Drosophila melanogaster: one gene and its partners. The protein of the gene in region 2 interacts with the protein of the main gene of each other region in a pairwise test. Each region holds a gene or a part of one and is shown on either strand. Other genes may lie near its edges.

Region 1 (3,794 bases), on a different chromosome or scaffold from region 2:
CAATCCAATCAACTATACAATACAATATTCAATACAATCAACTAAGGGTATTTGCACATTTCCATATTCCAAATTGAAATATATATAGAGAAACAATGCAAGAAAATTGATCAAAAACATGAAATATCTAAGCAAAATAAAACTTTTCTTTTCTGACTTGCCGTATTGTAGTTGCTTAAACGTTGAACAGATTTTATACAATTTGAAGTTTGAAAGAAAAATGATAATGTATACTTACTATACCTCTACCTATTGTTTCTTGACTTGGCTGGTAATTATGCAAAAAGAGATCGAGCTACGTGTGCAGATTTGTGAAAGTTTCCTTATGACAACCGCCACAATATTATGTTGTAATGACCAGAAAGAATACAGAAAGACCCGGTCTAACGACCAAGTTGTCTTGCATTATATATGTAAGTTCAACGTTTTCCGAGTGGATATTTTTGGCGCACCCCATCTCAATTTTAACGCTTTCAGTGTCGACTGCCTCCCACTGACACCCCCACCCACTGACTAATTTGTCACTTTTGTTCTCGCCTCGCAGGGACTTTTGGAATATCTTGTACTTTTTTTGATTGTTTTTTTTTTTTTTTTTTTTTTGCTGGCAACCCTTTTTTCAAGGGCAATTTCGTATTCAAATGTTGTTTGACTCGGTGTCTGTCTCGCTTTCTCTCCATTTAGTTGCTAGTACGTGTTCGTTGTGACCTGCCCCGTTTTCCATTTTGCTCGCAGCCAGTACATTTGGACCACATCCCCCAACCGGGTAGCTCTCATTCGCACGTAATTAGCTGTTAATTTGGACTACCACTTGGCAACCGGGCGTGGAATTTACTTTGTAACTTCTCCCATGTTTCGGTGTGTGGCACCGAGCCGTTCATGGGGAAATTGGGAAAACGTTTGTTGATTTGGCCCACAGAAGACGATGGCATTCGTATGGTTTATTGGCTCTGGTTTTGCTTCACACCTATGCTTATGTTCAATTGGTATGATTTTACAAAGGTTGATTTGATTATACAATTGTTATTTTTAATTTGAGTAAACAATTGATATTTTGAATTTACATATCTATGTGTTTGGGTGCTTATCCTAGGAGGCTGTAAGGACTACATTTCCTGGCCTGCGACCACTTTGTCAACAAACGCCTGAAGCTCGGCTTGTCCCTCTGCGTCGGGGGCTGCCATGATCTTGTCGAGAATCTGCCAGTTAATGTGCTTATTCAATAGTCCCCGTTTGATGACAAAGGCGCGCATCATAATGTTGAAATAGCGAGCTCTCCAAGCGGAACGCAGTCGCGGAATGTAGATGCGATTGTTGACCATCTCGTTGTCGTCCACATCGTAGATGTCGACTTCGCTGCCCTTCTCCTCGACAGGCTGGTCCTGCTTCTTTGGAGCGATTTTCTTACGCTTCTTTGGCTTTGGCGGCAGGGGATTCGATTCCGGCTGTCGGTTGGCCAGCTTCGCCATCCATCTAGATTGCAGGTCGGCCAGCGCCAGGTACTCCTTGTGCGTTAGGTTTGGCACATCGCGGAATAGTCCCTCCATCATATCGATCATCACATCCTCCGGAAAGCTGCACGACTCCGGTATCCAGATGCCATCGGTGGGCAATATCTTGGCCATGGCAAAGCCAAAGCAATGTGGTTGAAATGACTGGTTCTCAATGTTATTGTTTTATGAGAGCTACGCTGCTTACGCCGATAGATTAAGCTTGCTATCGATCGATACAATTGATCATCGACTTACCGCAATGCATGGGAGGATTATAGAATGTTCACACTGATAACGATGTTATAAGCTATTAAATAAATTTATATAGATATATATTTATATATAACAATAATAATAATAACAATTTTACTCATGTGCATTTATAAATGGTAATATAATTTAAATTTTAAGTTATCTTGCAATCGAAAGGGGCTAGAATATTGGAAAAAAAGCCTTGCTTAAAGATTCTTTTAACTTAAACTACGACATCTTCCTGGCCGTTGGACAGCTTCCACCACCTGCAGTGCAGCCCCATGGCAGCCTTGCCATCCATCTGGTGAGCCAAGTAACCCCGGGAACCCAACTGACAAGCAAATTACTTGACCGGGGCCACCACCAACCACAAGTCAAGGTATGGCTGGCAACCGTTAACTTTGCAGCTAATTATAAATGAAATCCGATATCAAAAGGCACACTGGGACACGCCTTTGTGCAACACCCAGGCACCAGCACCCACTAACACACACGGGGGCTTGCCCCCTCCAACCCACGGCACACACACACACTGAACCAGCCGTCGAATACACAGACAATGTCAATTCATTTGGAGTTTTGGAAGTCCTGGTCTTGGAGTCCTACAGTCCTGGAGTCCTGGAGTCCTGGATTCCAACCGGCCGCCAGTCTGTGGTTCTCGGCAAACAAACAAATAATGAAAACAGCACAAAGGGGCTGGCATCGTGGTGTCATCGGCGGGTTAGGGGGTGTTGGGTTGGCGTATTGTGGGCGTGGACCGAGAACAAAGTGGAAAATTCATAAAATGTCATTGTCGCTTTATTAAAACGCGCCAAAAACCTTCACGATGCCCCACTCACCACTAGCAGCGCCATCTAACCCCCATTTCTAACACACAATTAAGCAGTGAAAACAATTTGGTATTGAAAACAATTTAAGTCTAATAAATTATTTCACATATGCGTTACATAATCTGAAATCGAATACAAATGTTTCTATTGTGGCAAGTTCAGTATTACTATGTATTACTATGCTATGTTATAATGTTTTAAAAACCTTAAGACAAAGCGATCATTTCAAATAGAAGTATTTTTTAGCGGTGCACCCACACATAGATGTCAATCGTGGTACAACGAAGGGGGTGTTTCCGAAGGGGTGGGGGGGTGTTTGGGGCTTCATGAGTGAGTGGGTGGGTGCTTTGGCAAATTGGGCGGACGGCGACGTTGTCTGCTTTGCCATCGACAGCTGTTGGCGTCATTTACAAAAGCTTTTTGGCCGTTTTATGGGATTTTGCAACAGTTTCATTTTCATTTTGCGCAGGGCGCACACACACACACACAAACACACACACACACTCATGAGCAGAATAAGGCTTGGGGAGGGGGGTGGAGTTTGGCGGGCATAATGCCGCCATTAGAAGTTGCCGCCAAGCACTTGCTAACGCCAAAAGATGATGATGAGCAGCAGCAAGAGCAATAGCAACAAGGACCATATGCCATATGTGTGTGTGTATGCAGTGGCATTCGCAGAAGGGATCTAAACTCGTATATTTAAGTACTACATTTAAGACAAGACATAAAGGTACCAGGATACTCTTTAAAACAAGATGATTGCCTGCTTTTGAACTTTCAAGACTTTGATTTGTAGCTATTATTTTCTAAAAGTGCAAATATCCCTTTCTAGACTTCAGTTACGAACCCCCTTTATCTTAGACCAGAGACACCCATGCATGTTACGCCGCAGTTGTATCTGTAGTTGTGCGATGTTGCGACAACGATAATAGCTTCAACGTTTGTTGATTCGTTTGCCGTCTATATATGTTAGTCTGCCTGCCTGGCCAAACCTACGATTTTATCACGCCCTAGACCCGCGAACCCCTAAAGTCACCGTCCATGCACCCGCACATAACCATTTTCCCTTGCCCATTTTCCCCAAGCGTCGTCATCGTCAGCGTCATATTTGAACTTTTAATATTGACGCCATTTAACACGTTCGGGTGGAAATTTTATAAATGACTCTGTCTGTCGTTGGCTGGCTCCCTACTATGAACCTCCTCCCTCTGTAACCACCTTG
Region 2 (4,369 bases):
GTACTGGAGATTAAGAAGCAGGCGTACGTGCGCATTCTGGGCGGAAAGCAGAAGGATCAGTATGGCCAAATCCAAGGTTTTGATGACCATGCAGGGCGAGTAATTGTCAAAATGGCAATTGGAGGGGCCAAAGAGGCGTTCAACGAGTTCCTTTGTCAGCCCGTATCCCGCAAGGAGTACTCTCAGTATGGCAAGTGCATAAGTAAGTGGAGCCTGGAAAATGCAAATCCTTTATATTTGTGACATTTTTATATTTCTTTTACATTTACTTTCAGACACTGCCAAATACGAAGAATTCAAAAAAAATGAAAACGAGCATGGCCAGATTATTGTGAAGCAGGAAAATCCGTCAGGAAGAAGGGACAGAGACCGCAGGGAAGAAATTAGATCAGACCGGGATGAAGCTCAAAATCAAAAGAGTTCGAAGCCAGGGGACCAGAGATCTAGTAAAGAAGACTATCGCATGAAATGCAAGGAAGAAGATAAAAGGTCTTACAAATATGAAGACAAAAAAACGTACAAAGACGAACATCGCAGGACGTACAAAGACGAGCGAAAATCGTACAAGGAAGCCAAATCTAACAAAGAGGAGGTGGATCGAGAAAAGAAGTATGTGCGGAGTGGTAGCTCCTCTGTATCTAAACGCGAGGAACGTGAGCGTCGTCGTTCGCCGAGTCCCAGAGGCAGAAGCCCATCTAAGTCGAAGCGGGAAGACCGTGACCAAAAGCGTTCGCAAAGTCCCCGAAGCACCAGAAGAACAAAGAGTAGTTCAGACGAGGCAGACGATACGGGAGAGTCCACCGAGAGCGACTCCGACTCTGCATATGAACGCAGGAAGCACAAGAAGAAATCATCCAGCCACAAGTCAAGAAAACACTCAAAGAAGTCCAAGAACAAGTCGAGAAAGGCGGACAACGACTCCAGCTTAGAGAGCGATGACAGCCTCGGTGAAAACCATCGTCGTCACCACAGCAAGCACAAAAAGAAGACCAAGAGGAGCAAGCATGTCAGGTCCCGCACGCGATCAAGGTCAAGAGACCGTCAGTGATTGATCTATTTAGTTGAAATCTTTATTTAAATATAGTTCATTAGACGCTTAAGTTCCTTTTTTTATCTTACTTGGGATTATCATAAATTTCAATTAACTCACAAAATAATCACAAAAATGCCTTGTCTTTTGTTGCGCGTTTTTTTCTCTCTCCGTACGCCTCGTTTCGAGAATACTTCTGTCTTACATGTTACAAACTTATAGTAGGAGATGTGATGGGGCCAGAACCACGGATTTGCTAGTTTTCCGAGTTTTTTTTTTCTGTATGCGCTGCTCTTATCTTTTAAGATATTTATAGTTTCAAATTCAATGCGCCTAATGTGTGATTTAGTGATGCGATGTGTGCATAATGGCAAGTAGATGACTTAGGCATGTTTTATATTTTTGGTCAAATGGTGATGAGTTTATCTGGTTGCTTTCCTTTACTGCAGCTTCCTTTTGCCGCACTGGATCTTCTCGTTAATAATCTTCGAGGCCCTTTGGGTGATGGCCTTAAAAATGTCCTTGTTCTGTAGTCCTGGCCACATGAGGATGAGTAGGGTGGCCAAGTACATAAGCAGTAGATTGTTAATGATGGCTCCAATCCAGGCCATAGCCAAAAGACCCAAACTCATGACGATTACAAACTGGAATCAAAACGAATAAATGTGAGATGAAATAATAATAGAACCCGAAGTTTTTATTTACACTTGAGCTTGCAGAAGAAGATCTACTGCACATACTAGGCCCTGAAACTGCTTCTCTGTTTTCATATACATATACACACACGGTCTCTACCGCATCTACTCACCACTGTGGACTTCCGCTCGTTGAAGAGGTACTCGTACCAGACCACCAGGCTGCCCTTGACGGCGCACACCTGGCCGCACACGTCCTCGAACTTGGCCTCCTGGTCGCCATCCCAGTTGACTCCGCCAAAGATCAGGCGCGACACCATGGGGAATGCGTAGTTCAGCAAAATGCTAATGACACCGAGCAGCGACAGCAGGGTAATCAGCGACAAGTCCAGGTACCACAGCACCAGGTACAGGCAGCTGATGACGCCAAACACCACTCCGGCGTAGTACTGCTTCTCCCAGGTTAGCACGCCGTACGCTCCCACGATGGCTGTCCGGAAAGGCTCCAAGTCGTGCTTTAATTTGTTAAGTGCTCGTTTCTGGAAAATGCCGGAAAATGAGGAATCATTATGATATTAACTAATGGGGCTTCAATGGCGACGCCGTTTTCCGGCCGGAAAGCTTTCGGCAGTTCCACCCTTCGCTCACCTGGTCAACCTGCGATGCTGCCATGCTGGCTTTTCTTTGTTTCCTAGCGGTGCGCGTTCAATTCCGAGAAATCTATTTGATGCCCAAAGGTGTTGCTTTCGGTTTGAGCGAAAAATCAATTTTCTTGGGTGTTTTTTAAGTCGCCAAAGTCGCAGTGTGACCGTTGATCGACGTTTTGAAATGACTGATTCAGGGGTTGTTTCACTCAAACAGCGATTGCACTTTCAATCGGAACTTATCGAATTTTTCCCTTTACAACTCTGTTTTAAAAGTTTGTATTAAAAATCTTGTATTGATTTGGCTAAAATCTGATGCTAAATTCTAATGCCACCTGACATTTGGGCTTACATTTTTGTTTAAAATCTTGACAGCATCCTATCATAAAATATTGATTTACTATATCATGATTTTTATAAGCAGAACTAAAAGCCCATAAATGGCTTAATAAAATAAATACATAAATCAAAAATTAAATTGCCGTACTATTCAATTCGAAACTACAAAAATGGAAAGCAAAGCATCATTTTGGCTTTTGCTAGTTAATCAAGCAAATCAACAGCGGCTTACTTAGATAATGAACTCAAAGCCACCACATCTTGTATTATATGCAGATAAAATGTTGTAAATATAGATCTTAAATTCTTATATCAATGGCACGGAATAGCTTTAGTTTATTGCTAAAAATTTACTTCAAAAGAAATTTGTACTTAACTATCATGAACTTTAACGAAGCTACAAAAAAATATATATATATACATATATACGTTTGGACAAAATGAAGAGTTTCCATCTGTTTCCATCTCGAGGAAATTCAAATTGATGGTTATACCACGGGTAATTGAACTGAAATCTTTGATTGCTTCGGTACAATACAATTGTGTAATTGTTGGGTGAATGGGAGGAGGGTTCATACAATAGTTCATTCTGTTGATCAAATAAATTCTTTTGTTTAAACAAGTGATTGCATTTTGACCTAATATATGGACAGCGTCGTGGGACTGAAGATACCGGCGGAAATGTGTCCTTTCGGACAGCCTTGCAACTTATTGCCGGATTTCCCAATAGAGCTGATGGCATTTTCCGACTTTTCCGCTTTAACACATTTATTACCAACATAAATTCCCAGTGAAACCTTAGGTTAGAGCCGTTTTTATTAAAAGTAGACAGAGATGGGATGAGAAATACATTGAAATAAAAGCAAGTCCGATTTCGATTATTTACTCATAAATCAAAGTATAATCTACGATTATAAAAATTAGGCTCTTTATCTATATTCGACTCCAAATAATCAGTAATTTCAGTCGCATTCAATATTTAATTTGAATGATAGACAAAAATTAATCGTGTTAGGAGGTAGTCTCTACATATATCTAATGGATGATGGATGGTTATGTTCAGGTGTTTTTCTTCGAAATACTGCACATCTTGTAAGTTGCCATTCGTGTTTGGATTTTGTCATTTTTGTGTTAATATTTCGTGGTGGATTTGTTGTTGAGACCGTTTTTAACAGTTTTTGGTTAATTATATAAATTCAATTTATATTATAATGAGATGAATGCATCTTCGCTTGCATGATCCCATTTGTTATTTATGTTATTGTTCACGCATAGCCGAGCGAAATGTCCGATATTATGCGTAACTAATGAGATCACTATTGTTTTCGTCGCTATCTATATAGGTTTCAGTGTCTAGAAGCGTCGGTGTCCCCATGAATCAATGTGTCCGTGTTGGTTTCCGTCGCTATTATCTGGACCTCCAGGTCCAGCCATTGTTGAATTGTTGCTGTTGTTCCCAAATACTTCAAAAGGGGAATCAAAGTGTTCGAATCCAGAGTTGCTGCCTCCGAATCCCTCCTGCTGATCGAGGATCATGTTGAGTTTCTTGGCCTGCATTAGCAAATCGTTCTCCTGCTGACGGGCTCGCATATCCTCCTCATGGCGAAGTAATTGGTTTTGATAACGATGCATGTATTCCTCTTCCCGCTTTCGAATCTCCTCGGCTTGTTTCTCACGCATCTCCCACTCCAGTTTCATGCGCTCGTTGTCCAGCTCGCGCT
Region 3 (4,139 bases), on a different chromosome or scaffold from region 2:
TCTTCCCAAGTGGCTCCCATCCCGGCGAATGACAACTATCCGGGAATAAAAAATAATATTATTACATTTCCAGGCGCCCGCCCAATGTGAAGAATTGGCGAGCGAGCGAGAGGGAGTGAGGAAGAAAGAAAGACAGACAGTCTCGGCTAATTGTTTTCGCTCAGTGAAATGGAATGCCAAACACACAAATAGCCAACAATGTGCAAAACAAGCAAACGGAGACACTCAGCCGGAGGAGAAAAAGAGTGGAGGATCGTGATGGTGTGGATGTGGATGGGCCTATGGATCTTCTCTGGAATGACTTCGCCATGTGTACTTTGTTCACCGCCGATTCCAGCGGAGTGCTGCACTTCTGACAGCATTATTATGCGGTCTCAATTAGGAGATTGCAGAATCTCGGAGTCTGCAGATCAGGAGCAGGATGCGCTATAATGCGCCTGTCTGTCAGTAGCCACAGCCCATTAAGAACGACCAGGAAAGCCATCCACTCACAAAGTATTTAGACTGTGACCCCAGATGATTCGAAGTGGCGACTGAATATTCGCTTGCCAGACAAATGATTTATTTTTAAATACGTTTTCTATTGTAGTTTGCTCTGACGAAAGTGTCGAAAATGCGTTTCGGGAAACTCAACTATGTGGAGATCGGCGCTTAAAAGGATAATGAAATATTCAACCCCAGAAAGTCGTTCAAACATAAATTTCCAAACAAATTAAATTAGTTAATCTGAAAATTATAGTGATTATAACCAATTTATGAGTTATAATCAATTCCGAGCTTATTCATTTTCGATATTTTCCGAATGTTTATTAATTTTTTTCGATATTTACATATATGTACTAAATCGAACCTTATTTTAAATAACTAAATCGCACTTTTTTTCGTAACAAATAATTATTCCCGTTTTTACTCCTCAGCCAATTCTATATTTAAAGCCAAACAAGTTCTTATACAGAAGGGCTACCAATTCACGAAGATCAACAATTTTACCAAGTATTCAAAGATCTAACCAACTGCCAAATTGCTATTCTATTTGGGACTAGTCTTTCTTTTTTATCCTTGGCGCCGATTCCAAATGTGTTATCTATACTGATTATCATCTCGATCCGTTTCCGGATCTTCAGTCAAATCAGTAGTTGGCGGTGGATCCGTTTCCGTATCTGGATCGGATTTCGTAAACTCATCCGGTTCAAGACTGCCCACAAGTCCCAGATCTTGGGTCTCTGGCTCAAATGGATCCCAACACGGAGCCTTCGGTGGTTCATTGATAATCGAATCACGCATGGCACGCATTCCCATCTCAAGGGCGCAGTCCATGGAATTTCTGTCAGGTGGTTCGCGGGTTAGAGGCCCATTGAAATGCACATAAATGTCTCCCTGGGCAGCCAAATCTAGTCCGTAGGTGGTTAGATCCTCACCAAAGACCAGCTGCGTGGCGCCCGGATCCGTTTGCGTAGTCCTCATGGCGGCCAGCAGCCCAATGATCCCAAATTGATCTGACAGCATCGTGGCCGGAATATTAGTGAATTTCCCATCGTCTGTACTACGTATTCCCGCGGCATTTGTGTTCGTTGAGGAGGAGGTAGATGCCACCTCGGGCTCCTGCAACACTGATTCATAAGAGGGCTGACCAAAAAGATCAGCAAACGTGGGCATCGACGGCTGGCGATCGTAGAGTTCCGGGAAGAGTTTGTAATCCGATTCGATTTCAGATTCTACGCTCGAAGTGCTGACGACTTCCGGTGGCTCTTCGCTGGGCGGATCCGGCAAGGGCGGTGGACGTTGTGGCTCTACCTTTTCTGCACTGGGTGCAGTCTCCTGTTTCTTCTTTCTCAGCGCTATCGAGGGATTCACCTTACATCGTGGACGTCGACGCCGTGTCATTTTTTATCTTTTTATCAAAAAATGTCCTTGACTTGTGTCTGTGTTCGAGTGTTGTGGGGGGCTTGGGTGGCAGTTGGGTGGACGGGTGAGTGTGCGTGGATAATCTCGGACTCAGATAGCTTGATTCATAAATCCTTATCTCGAAGCCTATTTGAGAAGCGCCTATCACCGCCTTCCTTTGTGCTACACTACAACAAATTTTGATCTGTTTTGATGAATAATTCAAATGAAAACTGATTGTGATCGCATTGTGTGTGACGAGTAGAGATATTTCTAATGAAATCAATAATCGAAACAATGTTTAATCATTACCGCTTTCGCTAATACATTATGAATATAAATTTAGTTATATGATAATATATACTTATTTTTTTTGAATATGAAGTTAAAAGCTTTAGTTATATTTGCAACTTTATTGTTTCTCCATTACCGTTCCCCTACTTTCTCCCCTCACAAACAAATTGCATGAGTATTCACACTTTGTTAATTAATTAGGTGGTGCGTGCTCTCACCGGAGAACTTTCAACTTTATGCTTGTCATAAATATTTACAACTTCCTTCTGGCCATAAAAATCCTACACAAAGTACCAACTCCAATGAGGAAAAAAGAGACTGCGTCAACGTGAACGAAACAGAAATCATTTTGCTTTACTCCCAACATTTTTAGAAACATTCTATATATAATTGGAGAAATGACTCGGGAGAAGATGAAGTGGTAGATGTGCGTGGGATGGGGTGGAAACTTGTTGTTTGCCGCCCATAAATTGATCAGTTTATTAGATTCTAAGACCCGAAAAATATTTAATTGATTTATGCTCAATGAGTCAAAAGTCAGGCTAAAGTCATAAACTGGATGCCTGGGAACAAAAGGATATAATGAGTTGAACATAAAGGGGATTAGTAGAAAGCGATTTGGAAGTTTGGGAATGACAACCGAAATTAAGTGTATTTATATTATAGGATAGATATAGAAATAATGCACTTTTTATATAAAAGTTCACAAGTATCACATGATGTCGAACGGGTTAATAATATAAATAAATATGATGATAAGTTCAATAAATAACACAAAATGTTTACTTGGGAACTGTCAGTCATTGGTCAGTATCAATAATGAATCTGCCATAAAGTATGTCAAATAACTCAAAATTAATTCCTTTGACAACTGTGCATATACGCAAATACTAACATAAATCAAGTTAAATAGGTTTAAAATTCGGAACTTAACCTGCTTTGCCAAAGTAAAAGCCATTTATTCATGCATTGGTTTGCTATTCAAACACAACAATTCGTTCATTCAGTAGCCACACCTCGGCCATAATTTGTGCTATTTGTGTGGATAGGAAATTAGAACAATCAACTAGACACAAATCCCAACCAAAAAACCAGACAATGAGCAAATTTGTATCTAAATTGTTTATCAATGGATCTGGAGCCCACACCACATCGAGAGCGAACATTCAGATACATTTTATCTGCCATATAAAACGTATACGTATGTATCTGCGAAATACTCTTGTGTGTGGGGTAAGGCAACAAATTAGAAATAAACAAAATCCGTGGATGCGAAGAATTGCAAAAAGGCACAGAGCGAAGATACAAAGATCGAGATACACACTATATAGTACGAGTAGGTATTATGCAGATACAGATACGGATAGTTGGCGCTGCATTAACTAGTACTTACATAACTGCGGTAGGACGACATTACGTTGCTCTTGGCAAGCGATCCTCGATCGCAGATCGGATCAAAATTCGGTCACAATGTATGTTTATCGCCCTTTCAAAATTGGTGTATAATTTATTTTGGTATGGCCTGGGTTTGGTAATCCAATCTGGCAAACACTCGCGCGAGATCGAAACGGAGGAACTCGAACCGCTGACGACAATTACGAAAACGTATCTGCCGGATGCCGACTCTCAATTGCAATAGATGCAAAATAAATTAGATGCACTTACTGAAATCGCGCGCGTGCGACAAATTTCTACGACACTCTCTCTGCATTCCCCTATTTTATTCAATTTTATTTTATTGTATTTATTTCTTTTCTGCTAAGTAAACTATTATTTCCTTTGCTTTTATTTGCGCTGGGCGATACTCCGAGATCGGTATCGGGATCGGCCGTGTGTCACTTTACATAATCCACCGGCACGCACCGGGCAGGTTTGGGATATATACTGTCGATGCCTATAGGGCATACGAGCAGATATAGACTATAGCGCCCCGATCTATTTGGGAATGCAGCCGGCGAATG

Evidence for each region. The genes of interacting proteins can lie anywhere in the genome.
Region 1: the proteins of Arl6IP1 (region 2) and moon interact in a two-hybrid assay, tested with the Drosophila melanogaster proteins (one large-scale study listed by BioGRID).
Region 3: the proteins of Arl6IP1 (region 2) and CG6576 interact in a two-hybrid assay, tested with the Drosophila melanogaster proteins (one large-scale study listed by BioGRID).

The regions. Positions count from the first base shown.
Region 1 is NC_004354.4:12,071,109-12,074,902, forward strand, and holds moon (moonshiner), read right to left. Parts: upstream 1,711-3,794; 5' UTR 1,623-1,710; coding exon 1,104-1,622; 3' UTR 900-1,103; downstream 1-899.
Region 2 is NT_033777.3:16,641,853-16,646,221, reverse strand, and holds Arl6IP1 (ADP-ribosylation factor-like 6 interacting protein 1), read right to left. Parts: upstream 2,618-4,369; 5' UTR 2,338-2,617; coding exon 2,314-2,337; intron 2,205-2,313; coding exon 1,839-2,204; intron 1,675-1,838; coding exon 1,471-1,674; 3' UTR 1,051-1,470; downstream 1-1,050. Other genes in the region: CG10324 (uncharacterized protein), read left to right, coding at 1-202, 276-1,048; nonA-l (nonA-like), read right to left, coding at 4,002-4,369.
Region 3 is NT_037436.4:8,753,928-8,758,066, reverse strand, and holds CG6576 (uncharacterized protein), read right to left. Parts: upstream 2,079-4,139; 5' UTR 1,885-2,078; coding exon 1,081-1,884; 3' UTR 900-1,080; downstream 1-899. Other genes in the region: Fhos (formin homology 2 domain containing), read right to left, coding at 3,572-3,592.